2 linked regions of the Cricetulus griseus genome follow. The protein of the gene in region 1 interacts with the protein of each later gene in a biochemical or structural test. Links are inferred from orthologs where the notes say so. Each region holds a gene or a part of one and is shown in the gene's direction. Other genes may lie near its edges.

Region 1 (5,888 bases):
CTTTTAGTGTGTGGAAACTTCAGTTCCTTCATCTCTAAAGTAGTGGGAATTAGATTATCGATGGACGTCTTATTTAGTTGATAACACATAACCTGCAAGCTGACCTTCAGTGTTGTTTCTAACACGACAATAAGGCAAATAAACTGCACTTGCCGTTCATTTCCAGTAAATGATTTAGAGAAAGTTATTAACTTGCCTTCAAGCCTAAAGTTATCTGTGTGGCTATCAAAGGAAAGAATTGTTTACGTTGCCTACTCACCAAAATCTTGTACCTAAATCGGTGAGTCCTGCACCTTGACTTCTCATGGGATTGGGAGTTGCTGCTCCCAGCCAGCTATAACAACCAGCATAACAGCTGCTTGTCTTTGGTGCCTGCTTCTTGTTGAGGCAGGTTACTTAAACAGTTTGTGGTTTTTCCATTCATTAGGAATTCATCTTGGCATTGACAACGCTTCACTGGTCGTTATGATGCCAAGCATCGTTGTTGCTTACGGGTTTGCCCGTGAGGTGGCTTTCCCTCTTTCCCTCTGCTGAGGATGACTTAGGCATTCACTGGAGGACCTCTCCTGAGGTTTCCCTTCCTGCCTGGAATGCAAGACAAGCTCTCCCCATTCCTGTTGACTTCTTCACAGTCAGAATTACTCATCAGCAATTGAAAACTGAGTAATACTAGGTGGGAACCAGTTACCACATTTCCCCTAGAACAGACCCAGAATTGCCTTGCAGCAGATATCGATCGATGAAAGGAAATGTAGTTAGTAGAGAAAGCGCACTCCAAGAGATCATCTCAAGTGGCCAATGCAGGATACTTGGAATCAAAGAGCATCCTTTTTCTGGTGGTCTATCATGCGCGTTGGCACACAGGTTGATGAAAGACTTTAGAAAAGGTAATTTAGCAGACATAAAACCAAGGAAATTTGCCTTTTGGAAGATCTTTAATCTCATGGTGAATAATAGCTAGCATAAGTGATGTTTATCACACTTGCTGTCCCTAGTTAAAATTGATCCTTTTATTTTTACAACGTATGACTAATCACCCTTATTTGATCAGTATAATACATGCAAGCATTGAAATATCACATCATTAGCATATGGTCATCACATGCTAGTCAAAATAGTTAATTCAAAAACTGGATTGCCTTTTGTCCCCATCAGCAAGGGCCCAATCTGCTGATGTCATTGCTCTTTCCATGTCTTCTTTCCAGCCAGATGATCAGGTGTTTTGGGGTGTCATTCTCTATCCTCAGACACGTGTTTCCTCTTCATCTTCCCCCGATCCCATGTTCCTGCCTCCTGGTAGCCATTTTTTAAATTTATCTTCTGCCCTTTCCAGTGTGCTATGCAAGGGTTTGTGTATGGATGCTTAGGTAAAAAACATCCTTCTCAGTTTATGGCGTGTGAATTTCATACCTGCTGCCTTGTGTTAGTTACTCAATTCTTTAGCAAGAAGCAACTATCGTCTGTTTGATTTTTCTTTACAATAAAATACAGGAGGTTGGCAGATTTTGAAACTGATCTATTAGTTGTTAACTTAAAAAAAAGTCTAGTCATTTTGTCAAAACCCATCTCCTCTCACAGTTAAGCATATCTTTCTGGGCAGGCGTCCTTTAGAACTGAGGATGTAGTTTAGTAGTAGAGTGTTTACCTCCAGGCAGAATGCCCAATGCCCGGATTTGATCTCAAGCCAGCAAGAAAAACCCACTCTGGTAACGAACCTGAACCTCTAACTAAAATTTTCTACAGTTGAAAATGTTCAAAGTACTTATGATTACGGCACAACCTGTTGATAGAAATTTCATTTTCTTTTTTGTAGAGATTGATAATGACTTTACCGGCACCCACACAGATTCCTTCCTTGTGTTTATATGTAAAGTGCTCCTTCGGGTTCCCAGTCAGAGACAGCCCAGTCCTGGGAGATAATGGAATGTGGGCGAAGTTGGGAAGCAGCTTAGGACAGGGCAGAATTCCTCCTGCCGCGCCGGATGCCCATACTGGGCATCTTTGCAGACTCTTATGCTCCCTCCACCCCTGCTGAGATGATGCACTGGGAAAACATTCGCTCTCCCAGGGATGCCTCTCTGTTGGTTTATAGCTGGGAAAACGTTGCCCCGGGTCTAAAATATCTGCCCAAACAGCCTAGCGCTGATGAAGGCTTTCTCACAGGCTCTCAGCTCCCCGCGGGCGCTCCCCGCCCTCTGTTGCCAGAACCTTGGGGATGTGCCTAGACCCGGCGCAGAGCACGTCCCAGCCAACTGAGAGAAGAACAAACCACTGGCGGACAGCCAAGAGGCTCCCTCCCAGCCACCGCCCCCCCGCCCCCGCGCCAGCGCCTTTTCCCCCCTATACAATACAAGATCTTCCTTCCTCAGTTCTCTTAAATCACAGCCCAGGGAAACCTCCTCAGAGCCTGCAGCCAGCCACGCGCCAGCATGTCTGGGGGCAAATACGTAGACTCCGAGGTAGGCTTGGGTGAGGGCGCGCCGGCTCTAAAGTGCCTGCTTTTGCTATCTCCCACTCCAAATGCTCGGGCTGCTTTCCTGGCCCCAGCCCTCTCTCCACCTTCACAGCACTCCCCTCGTGCTGGCACCGCTGAGGAATGGACCTGGGTGGGGAGCTGAAGAAAAGCCAGGGGTGTTTTAAGGCTTCCTTTTGGAGAGGCGACCAATGGAGCCCACCGGGCAAAGGAGGGTCGGGGTGCCGCGTTGGTAGTCGGCCGGACTTAGAAAAGTTTTTCAGATGGCACCGTTAAGACCCCCCCCACCCCGGACAAGCCCCTACTTACTGGGAGGCTGAGAGCTGGTGCAGTGTGTGTGTGTGTGTGTGTGTGTGTGTGTGTGTGTGTGTGTGTGTTGGGGTGGCGTCATTTGGCCACAGTTCTAAGGACAGTCCCCATCAGGAGCCTAAAGTGGCTGGCCTGGGCGGTGGCGCGCGCGTGTTGCACTTTGAGCAAAGTTCTAGAGCACTTCTATAATTTCTGCCCCTGGGCGGCGGCCGGGATGGGGGGTTCCGAGGTGGGGGACCCTCCTTCCTCAACAAGTACCACCACCATTGGCAACTACTTCTTGGCACTCAGATAGCATAAAGGTGGAGACCTCGGTTCCCAAAGGTGACTACCGTTCAGCCTCGGGCAGACAGCCTGGGGGTGATCTAAGTAAGGGTGGGTCAGGGAGTCCTTCAGGTGAGATGTCTTCCAGAACATTTTGAGGGGTCGGGCATATGCCTCGGCTCAGAGATGAAAGTATGATAGCTATCCACGCACCTCATCCACCCCCACGGCCTAGGGAAAGCCGTGAAGCAAAAGGAGCTAAAGGGTAGGGGACGCGGCAGGTGCGGAGGAAGACGCAGGGAGAGACAGAGAAGATGGGACCAGCCCCTGTCTGTATGGTCCAGTGGGATCTTAAAGATAACGGTGGAAGGGATCGGGAACAGGATTAACAGGGTCAGGACGGGTCAGTGGAGCAGGTGAGGCTCTGGGGACGCGGGTGGCCTGGAGGAGAGAAGGGGTACAGAGCAGGAGGAACGCGAACCCCCTGGGCTGGGGAGTCGCTGCCAGGAGCTGCAGGGAGCAGGAGGGCGAGCATGGGGCTTCGCCCTGACCCCTGGCGGCCGGCGAGGGAGGCAGGCGCTCCCTGCCTGGTACCGAGGGGTGTGGTGTCCTTCCCTCCGTCCTCTTAAAAAGCTTGCGGCACTGGAGTTTTCTGTGCGCAAAGCCTTCAGGGTTGAAGTTAGCCGAGACTTGGAGCTCCAGGCTCCCCCGACAACAGGCTGACTTCTGACGCTTGTTTTTCTTTCTGAACTTTTTTCCCACTGCCTTTGCCATCCTCCCCTGGCTTGGCCGGCTGCCTTCACAGGGACATCTCTACACCGTTCCCATCCGGGAACAGGGCAACATCTACAAGCCCAACAACAAGGCCATGGCAGACGAGGTGAATGAGAAGCAAGTGTACGACGCGCACACCAAGGAGATTGACCTGGTCAACCGGGACCCCAAGCATCTCAACGATGACGTGGTCAAGGTAAGCCATGGTGGCTGTCTGGGTCCCACAACCCTTCTCTCTCAAGTAATTGGGCGTCCTTTCATAGCTTTGTCACACTGGCACTGTTTCCTAGGCTTGGCTGTATGTGAACCCCTGGTCCCTTGTCAGAAAGGTCTCATCTGCCTTGCCTCCTCCTACTAGCTAGTTGAACAGAAATTTAGCTAAAGTGAGCCTTGTGGGAGTTCACAGAACCTCAGCCACAGGTGGGCCCCCACATTACTTGGGAAAAGAAGATGACTGTGGTCCATTGCCAGGTTAATAGTCCAGTGACAGGTAAATAATAGTGTGCACCACGGTGAAGGTCAGAATACAGTATAAGCATATTCCTTCAGCTAAAGCAATCTAAAGTGATTAGATTAAAAATAATAAATGAGTGGAAATGCTTAAAACTATCTTATATGTATATATTTTGTATGCAATTGCATATATATAATATACATATATATGAATAGGGTTTTAACTATAAAAACACAGCACATGTACAAGGCTAAGCCAATTTACCAAACTGAAAATAATTTCCACCTCTTAACTTCTGGATCCCTCTAGTTAGATGTGGAAAGATGCATCTGTGGTGACAGCCAAGGTCAGCCTGCCCTGGGCTAGCAGAACATTCAGGTTGGCGTTCCATTTTACACTTTGAGGATATACTTGCTGGGGTTTAAAATACATTACTTTCCTGGGTTGTTGGCCGAATGTAGACTTGACACAGTGGTCTGATTTTCATTATCATTTTGTTATTCAACTTTGACCCTTTTAGCAATTCTAGCTCAAGGAATTTATTGTCTGAGTCCGTGTGGGTTGAGAAATACTGGACTTGAGCTGTCCTTGGCAGAGGATTTCCTCTGAGTGGCCTGGAGGGCCAAGGAAAATCCTGGCCTCGGGGTTCCAGTGGGAAGGAAGCCCCTGTCCTGCCCAGCCGCTAATGCAGGCACCACTGAGGAGCTCATGGAGTTTCCACCCACAGACTCCTATCTATGGATGGGAGGAGCTCCAGTGCAGTTTCACCTTTATGAATAATATATTTTAGAAAGGGAAATGGTTTAATCTACAACTGGAGGGAAAGTGTACCTGTGAAAATTCACTCTCTTGTTTTGCTGGTAGAGAGAAAAGGAAAATTGACTGCTTTCTCCTGGCCAGATTGTGGAATACTTAAAACTAGAGATGAAGGCATCCCATAAACTGGAAGTTAAGCTTGCTAAAATCTGTTTGTTAGCCACACTTCCCTAAAGGGGAAAAGACATTTTGCTTCTCAACCTTCTTGTGCTGCCTGCTTTGGTCAAGGAGGGGGACTCAAAGGATAAAAGCAGATTCCAGGATCTCAGATCAGCTCCCTGTTTGTTGCCCTGTTCTCGGAGCAGGATTCCCTGGAGCAGACCGGCCTCCTGGGATGAGTCAGAGAGGCCAGCAGTGTGGATGTGGGCCTCCACACAGCATGACTAAGTGGAGAAAGCAGGCCCCACTGGGAAAAAGACTTCAACACAGATGGAAAAAAAGGCATGGCAGGCTCGGAGGAAATAGCAGTTTACAAAATACCATTTCAAGGGCAAGTGTGGGGAAACCTCAAACTAGAGAAATTAGAGGAGTTACATTAGTGCCTACCTACTTGCTCACAGAACCAGGAGCAAATCCAGCAGACAAGAAAAACCCACCTTGAGAAAAGAATGTGACAGGATTTAGGCAGAAGCCCCGCCTAGGAGGATGTCTTCAGAAAACACTCCCTCTGCGAAGAGAGACCCAGGCTGCCCCTGCACAGTCTGCTCCTCCCCTCTCCTGCACTAGTACCTAGAAAATTTCCACCATCCTAGAACTCTCTGCTGGACAGTGTCTGGCAAGAGAGTCCCCGGCTCTTCA
Region 2 (5,648 bases), on another chromosome or scaffold:
TCTGTAGACCAGGCAGGCCTCAGGATCATCCTCACTGTGGCTCCTGAGTGCTGGGAATAAAGGCCAGCACCACCGTGCACTGCTTTTTCCCATGTCATAATCTTCTTAAGAGCATCAGAATATACTTCTCTACATAGCAGCTATACAACTAACATCAGAAGAGGATGGGATTGTTCGAAATCATTTCAAGATTACACTGTGAGATTTGACTACACTGTCAAGAGTTAGAATTGAACTCGGTAGTTCTAATAAACTTAGCTTTAGCACATGCAATCCACTCAAAAGAAAACAGAAACCAAGAACTACTTAAAGGAACTACCTAAAATGAAAATGATCTGTGCATTTAGTTGAAATTTCACACAGGAATCGGTGTAAAAGGTTGGGAGTGCCAGAAATGGAGTGATTAAACATGACTAGAACAAAGGGCTGGATGAGATGGAATTTTAGTCACTATGTCTCATGTAGAATCAAATTAGCACACACATGAAGCAAATAGTTGAAAAAAATTCCATGAGTATTTTTAATTTCTCCAAGACTTCCTCAGATTGAGATATTTGGTATAGTTTTCTAATTGTTGTTTTCGTGGGTTTTTCCCTCATTGCTTTTCCTTTCTCTCTATAAATTTTTGTTTGGTTTGTTTGAGCCTAGGTCTTGTGTTGCCCAGTCTGCCTCAAACCATTTTCCTGAGGAAATAGTTTAATTTCAGACTCCATCCATGCTAAGAACAACAAAATTTTAATTGATTTCTTTAGTTTCCTAACTTCCTTATTTTTGCTTGTTTTTCACTATTCCATCCTCATATATCCTTTCCTGGCCACCACCAAACAGCAGAATGACATTCAAAACTGTCAAAAATCACCTTTCTATGCAATTAATTTCTTAACAATGTTTCAGAATGAATTGGGGTTTGAAGGTTAGCCAGAATAAGGCCAGTTATAGAAACATAGGTATTATCTTTTGACCCATGGCCATAACACACCTTCTTGGAAAAAAAAAAAAATGTGGACAGAAAAAGTCAAAAAAGTACATGTTTAAAAAAAAGAAGAAGAAAGAAAGAATTCCTTTTTAGTGATATATCCTGTAAAAAGAGTTGTTGATCGAAATAATAAAAGCACAGCAGCAGGGAGAGGAAAAAATACCTTATAGCAATGCCGTGGGCACTTAGCATTCCTATGAAGTGAAGCTCAGACTCTGTCCCTTGGAAACACCGGTGCTATGGGCGGGCTACGACCTAGGAGCCTGGGTGCTGTTCTGTGACAGACTTCACCCTACCCCCACCAGTACGGTGTGACCCTGACAGCAGACCCCTCACTTCATCAAAAATAGAATAAATTAAATAAATAAATAAAAAAAAAAAAAACGGTGGCTGTGTGTGCGCTCTGGGCAGCACGCACGTCAGACCGCCCCAGCGGGGGGCGGCGCGGGGATTCCCTGCGTTCCCACTTCGGATCTGGGAGAGGAACGTGACATCCCAGCGCTCCTTGGTCCCCGCCAGGAGCACTGGATGCGGGACAGGGAGGAAGCCGGGGACCCCAAAGAGAGTGAGCGTGGGCGCGGGCACAGGAACCGCTCGGGGCGCCAGGAGGGATGCGGGAGGGCGGCGCAGTTCTCTTGGCACCACCTGGGGCAGCCGAGGGCAGCTTCCCGGCTTCCCTCGTCTCCGTTTGCGTGGGTAAGAGCCCTGCCCCCACCCGCCTTGCGCAACTCTCCGAAGCGGAGGGGGTGGGGAAAGGCTATTGGGGGTAGGGGAAAGACTGGGCGGAAAGAACCAGTCACCGCAGCGTCACGTGGGGGAGGGGGGCCACTTTTTCAGGCATAAAAGCAAGGTTCTCCCCGTTAGCAGCCAGTTGTCAAACTGCGAGCGGAGAGCTCCAGGAGTGTCAGAAGACTGCCCACGAAGGAACTCAGCGCTGCGTCCCGCCAGCTCAACCACCTCCGCCACCACCGCCGCCGCCACCTCCGAGATGCTCTTCCGAGCTGTGCTGCTCTGTGCCGCTCTGGCGCTCACCCATGCAGGTAAGTGGCCCCGCACCCAAAGGTGCTGAAGGACTTCCAGCGCAGACCTCCTTTTTCTAGTGCGGGGACTGCGCAGTGGCAAACAGCCTGGACCACTTGGGTCAGGAGGAACGCAAGGATGGCTTGCTTTTGTCACTGGCTCTCAGGTTATGGGCCAATTACTTAGGGGAGCAGAGAGCTACTCTCATTTGCTTTAAAAAGCCAATAGCCAATAGTTTTCGGGTTGTCTTCATGGTAAGATATGATCTATACATGTGAATTGCAGGTGTGGGGCGACTGATTAGAAATGACTACTCTAAATACCCGCCAGTGCTTTTCTGCCCCCAAGAAAATCCAGAATACATTTTTAAAAAGATATTCAAAACGTTAAAAGTAAACTGTTTGACTTTGGTTTTCTTCACACTAAATTTTGACTAATGTACTAGATCGATCCATTTTAATTTCGAAAGTGCTACTTAACCGTTCTAATCTGAACATTTAAGAAGTTATTGTGAAAATGTTAATAATGTGAGCTATGATGTTAGGTCCTCTGCTTCTCTTGCTTAGAAAAAAGAAACTGCTAAGTCTATATTACAGCCATTTGATAAGACAGACTTAATTAAAATAGTCTCTCCCCCCAACTCCCCCTCCCGACTACCTGTGTATTTCTAACTTACCATTGTAAACTTGACCTATAGTAACACAATTAAATCTTTAAGTTAAGATGAGGATGACCAAGAGTGACTTACAGGCTGTCTTATTTTTATTCTTATGTTTTTTTTCTTAATGTAGCAAATCCTTGCTGTTCCAACCCCTGTCAAAACCGAGGTGAATGTATGAGCATAGGATTTGACCAGTATAAATGTGATTGTACCCGGACAGGATTCTACGGGGAAAACTGCACTATACGTAAGTTTCTCCTGGGGTTTCCTCCTTTGGAATGGGGCCACATGCAGTTACCATCATTTTGTACATTAGTGCCATGTGGGAAGTGTCTACTAATTTCTCCCTCCTGCTCTTTCTCTCTCCAGCTGAGTTTCTGACGAGGATTAAGTTGCTGCTGAAGCCCACCCCAAACACAGTACACTACATCCTGACACACTTCAAGGGAGTCTGGAACATTGTCAATAACATTCCCTTCCTTCGAAGTTCAATCATGAGATATGTGTTGACATGTAAGTACAAACCTCCCTTGCTTCTAGCATTCTCTGGCAAAAATATGCACTAGAAACCCAACACAAAGAAATATTCCCAACCTTTTCAAAATGGCTTGATATATACCTTTTCAACCCTCCATACTCCCCTTCCAAATGCCCACAACACTGACAAGTGATCCTGTAGCCAGGAAATGAACCCAACCTTCATTCCTGTGGAGGAAATATGCTTGTCTTGTTTGTTGAGTACCTATGGCTCCCAGAATTGTTCTGAACATGCAGCACCCTTTAAAGCAAATGGTTGAATGCCCAGCTGCTTCAGTCATTGGGATACAGGAACAGGGAGTAGGTGGTACCTGAAAACTCAAAGACTACTGGAGCATAAGGTCCTGTGTAAGGCTTGAGCTTATTGAAGACACATTTTCAGTTGCCTTTTAAAGCAGGGTATCTTTGTCTGAATTAAAGCCCATCTCTGTGCCTTCTATGTCGTACAATGATAAATAACATTCACTTGTTCTTTTCATATCAGGGACAATAAATTTTTTTCTTTAAAATTCCAGCCAGATCACATTTGATTGACAGTCCACCAACTTACAATGTGCACTATGGTTATAAAAGCTGGGAAGCCTTCTCCAATCTCTCCTACTATACCAGAGCCCTTCCTCCTGTGGCTGATGACTGCCCGACTCCCATGGGTGTGAAAGGTGAGTGGGAAGAAATAGAGCTGTAACAATTGCAGTGATGGTTGGGTGTGCACTTAGAAAGGGCACCTTAGTTTTTCATTCATTTAAAACTGTAACTTATATGGCTATCCACAGAGGATTTTTAAAGTGCCTATTCCATAAAAGTAAATCTTCACTTTGATATAATGTCTTATCATTATTATGTTGTGCTAAATAGAATTGGCATTGGTTAAAATAGGTAAAACTGTTCAATAAGTTGTTCCCCCAAAATTCTTGTACTCTTGGCAAGGTAACTCATTGCCTGTAATCTCAGCATTAGATGGACTTCAGGCAAAGGTTCATCAGTAAGCTCCAGGCCAACCTGGCATAGAGAGGGAGTTTGAGTCAGCATGGGGTATAAGCATAAGACTGTGCATCAAAGCAAAACAACTCCATTGGTGAGACTATGTTTAGAAGTGACGAATGCTCTCATGAATTAGACAGCCATCTGTTTGCTTCAACAAATATGTGAATGGGTTTTTACTTTTGAGTTTTTATGTTTCAGGAAATAAGGAGCTTCCTGATTCAAAAGAAGTTCTGGAAAAAGTTCTTCTAAGGAGAAAGTTCATCCCTGATCCCCAAGGCTCAAATATGATGTTTGCATTCTTTGCCCAGCACTTCACTCATCAGTTTTTCAAGACAGATCAGAAACGAGGACCTGGCTTCACCCGAGGACTGGGCCATGGGGTAAGACAGGCTTAACTCAGAATTAACGAAAATCCTTAGGAAAAGCTGACATCTTGCCATGCCAAACAAATCACACCCATTTTTTTATACAAATGTCATGTCTACTAAAGCCATAATAGAGTGTTCCATTTTCATTCACTAGTTGAGTAAAAATAAACAGACATACACAGAGATATTTTAATGTAAGCTATCCTTACATATTTAGTTTAAAATTTTGATCTACAAAAAATGCTACATCTTCTAAAACTTAATTAATTAATTATTGGTAACACTGGGAAGTGGCCTTAGGACTTGGTGATTGTTAAGCACTGTGCTCTATCATTGAGGTAGAGGCCCAACCCTCCAAAAAATAGCTGCACCCTGACTATGCTGCTTAAAATAATATAAAAATAACTATCATGGTTATAATGAGGCATGTACTGTATTTAATATAAAGTACTAATACCATTCAACATAAAGAGACTTACAGGAGTGAGTTGAGGGGAGACGGGGGGGGGGGTAGGAAAAGAGAATGGGAGGAGAGGAGGGAGGGATGTAAAATAAACTAATAAAAAAAGAGGAGTACAGGCTTGTAGCGCTGGAAGACATTATTTTAGTATTTTGTGACTATGAAGAAGTCATTTGTTGGACTTGATAACTCAGTGTTTAAGAACACTTAGCGCTTTTGCTGAGGAGCCAGCTTAAGTTCCCAACACCCACTTGGTAGTTAAACCATCTATCTCTAGAACCATCAGTTCTAGGGGATTTAATGCCTCCTTCTGACCTGGTTGGGCGCCTGGCATATACCTGATGTATATACATACATATAGGCAAGCACTCATACATATAAAAATAATCACTTGTTGAATTTTAAAGAAAGCTAAGTCATCAAAATTTAATAACAAATGATAGTAAGGCATCAATAAATTGAAATTTCTCCATAATTTTCTAGGTGGATTTAAACCACATTTACGGTGAAACTCTAGACAGGCAACATAAACTGCGCCTTTTCAAGGATGGAAAATTGAAATATCAGGTATTTTCCTTGCATTTTTAGGAATTGTCACCTGCCATTTACATTTACATTTTGAAACTGCTGCTTGTGTGTGTG

What was found.
Region 2: the proteins of Cav1 (region 1) and Ptgs2 form a complex in vitro, tested with the Homo sapiens proteins (2 studies listed by BioGRID). The link is inferred for Cricetulus griseus from reciprocal best matches to the Homo sapiens genes CAV1 and PTGS2.

What each region holds. Positions count from the first base shown.
Region 1 is NW_023276806.1:209,233,008-209,238,895, reverse strand, and holds the start of Cav1 (caveolin-1), read left to right. Parts: upstream 1-2,320; 5' UTR 2,321-2,429; coding exon 2,430-2,459; intron 2,460-2,975; exon of another isoform or gene 2,976-3,106; intron 3,107-3,851; coding exon 3,852-4,016; intron 4,017-5,888. UniProt on the Homo sapiens protein: May act as a scaffolding protein within caveolar membranes. Forms a stable heterooligomeric complex with CAV2 that targets to lipid rafts and drives caveolae formation. Mediates the recruitment of CAVIN proteins (CAVIN1/2/3/4) to the caveolae.
Region 2 is NC_048598.1:41,413,536-41,419,183, reverse strand, and holds the start of Ptgs2 (prostaglandin G/H synthase 2), read left to right. Parts: upstream 1-1,964; coding exon 1,965-2,016; intron 2,017-2,787; coding exon 2,788-2,904; intron 2,905-3,026; coding exon 3,027-3,170; intron 3,171-3,709; coding exon 3,710-3,853; intron 3,854-4,376; coding exon 4,377-4,558; intron 4,559-5,489; coding exon 5,490-5,573; intron 5,574-5,648. UniProt on the Homo sapiens protein: Dual cyclooxygenase and peroxidase in the biosynthesis pathway of prostanoids, a class of C20 oxylipins mainly derived from arachidonate ((5Z,8Z,11Z,14Z)-eicosatetraenoate, AA, C20:4(n-6)), with a particular role in the inflammatory response.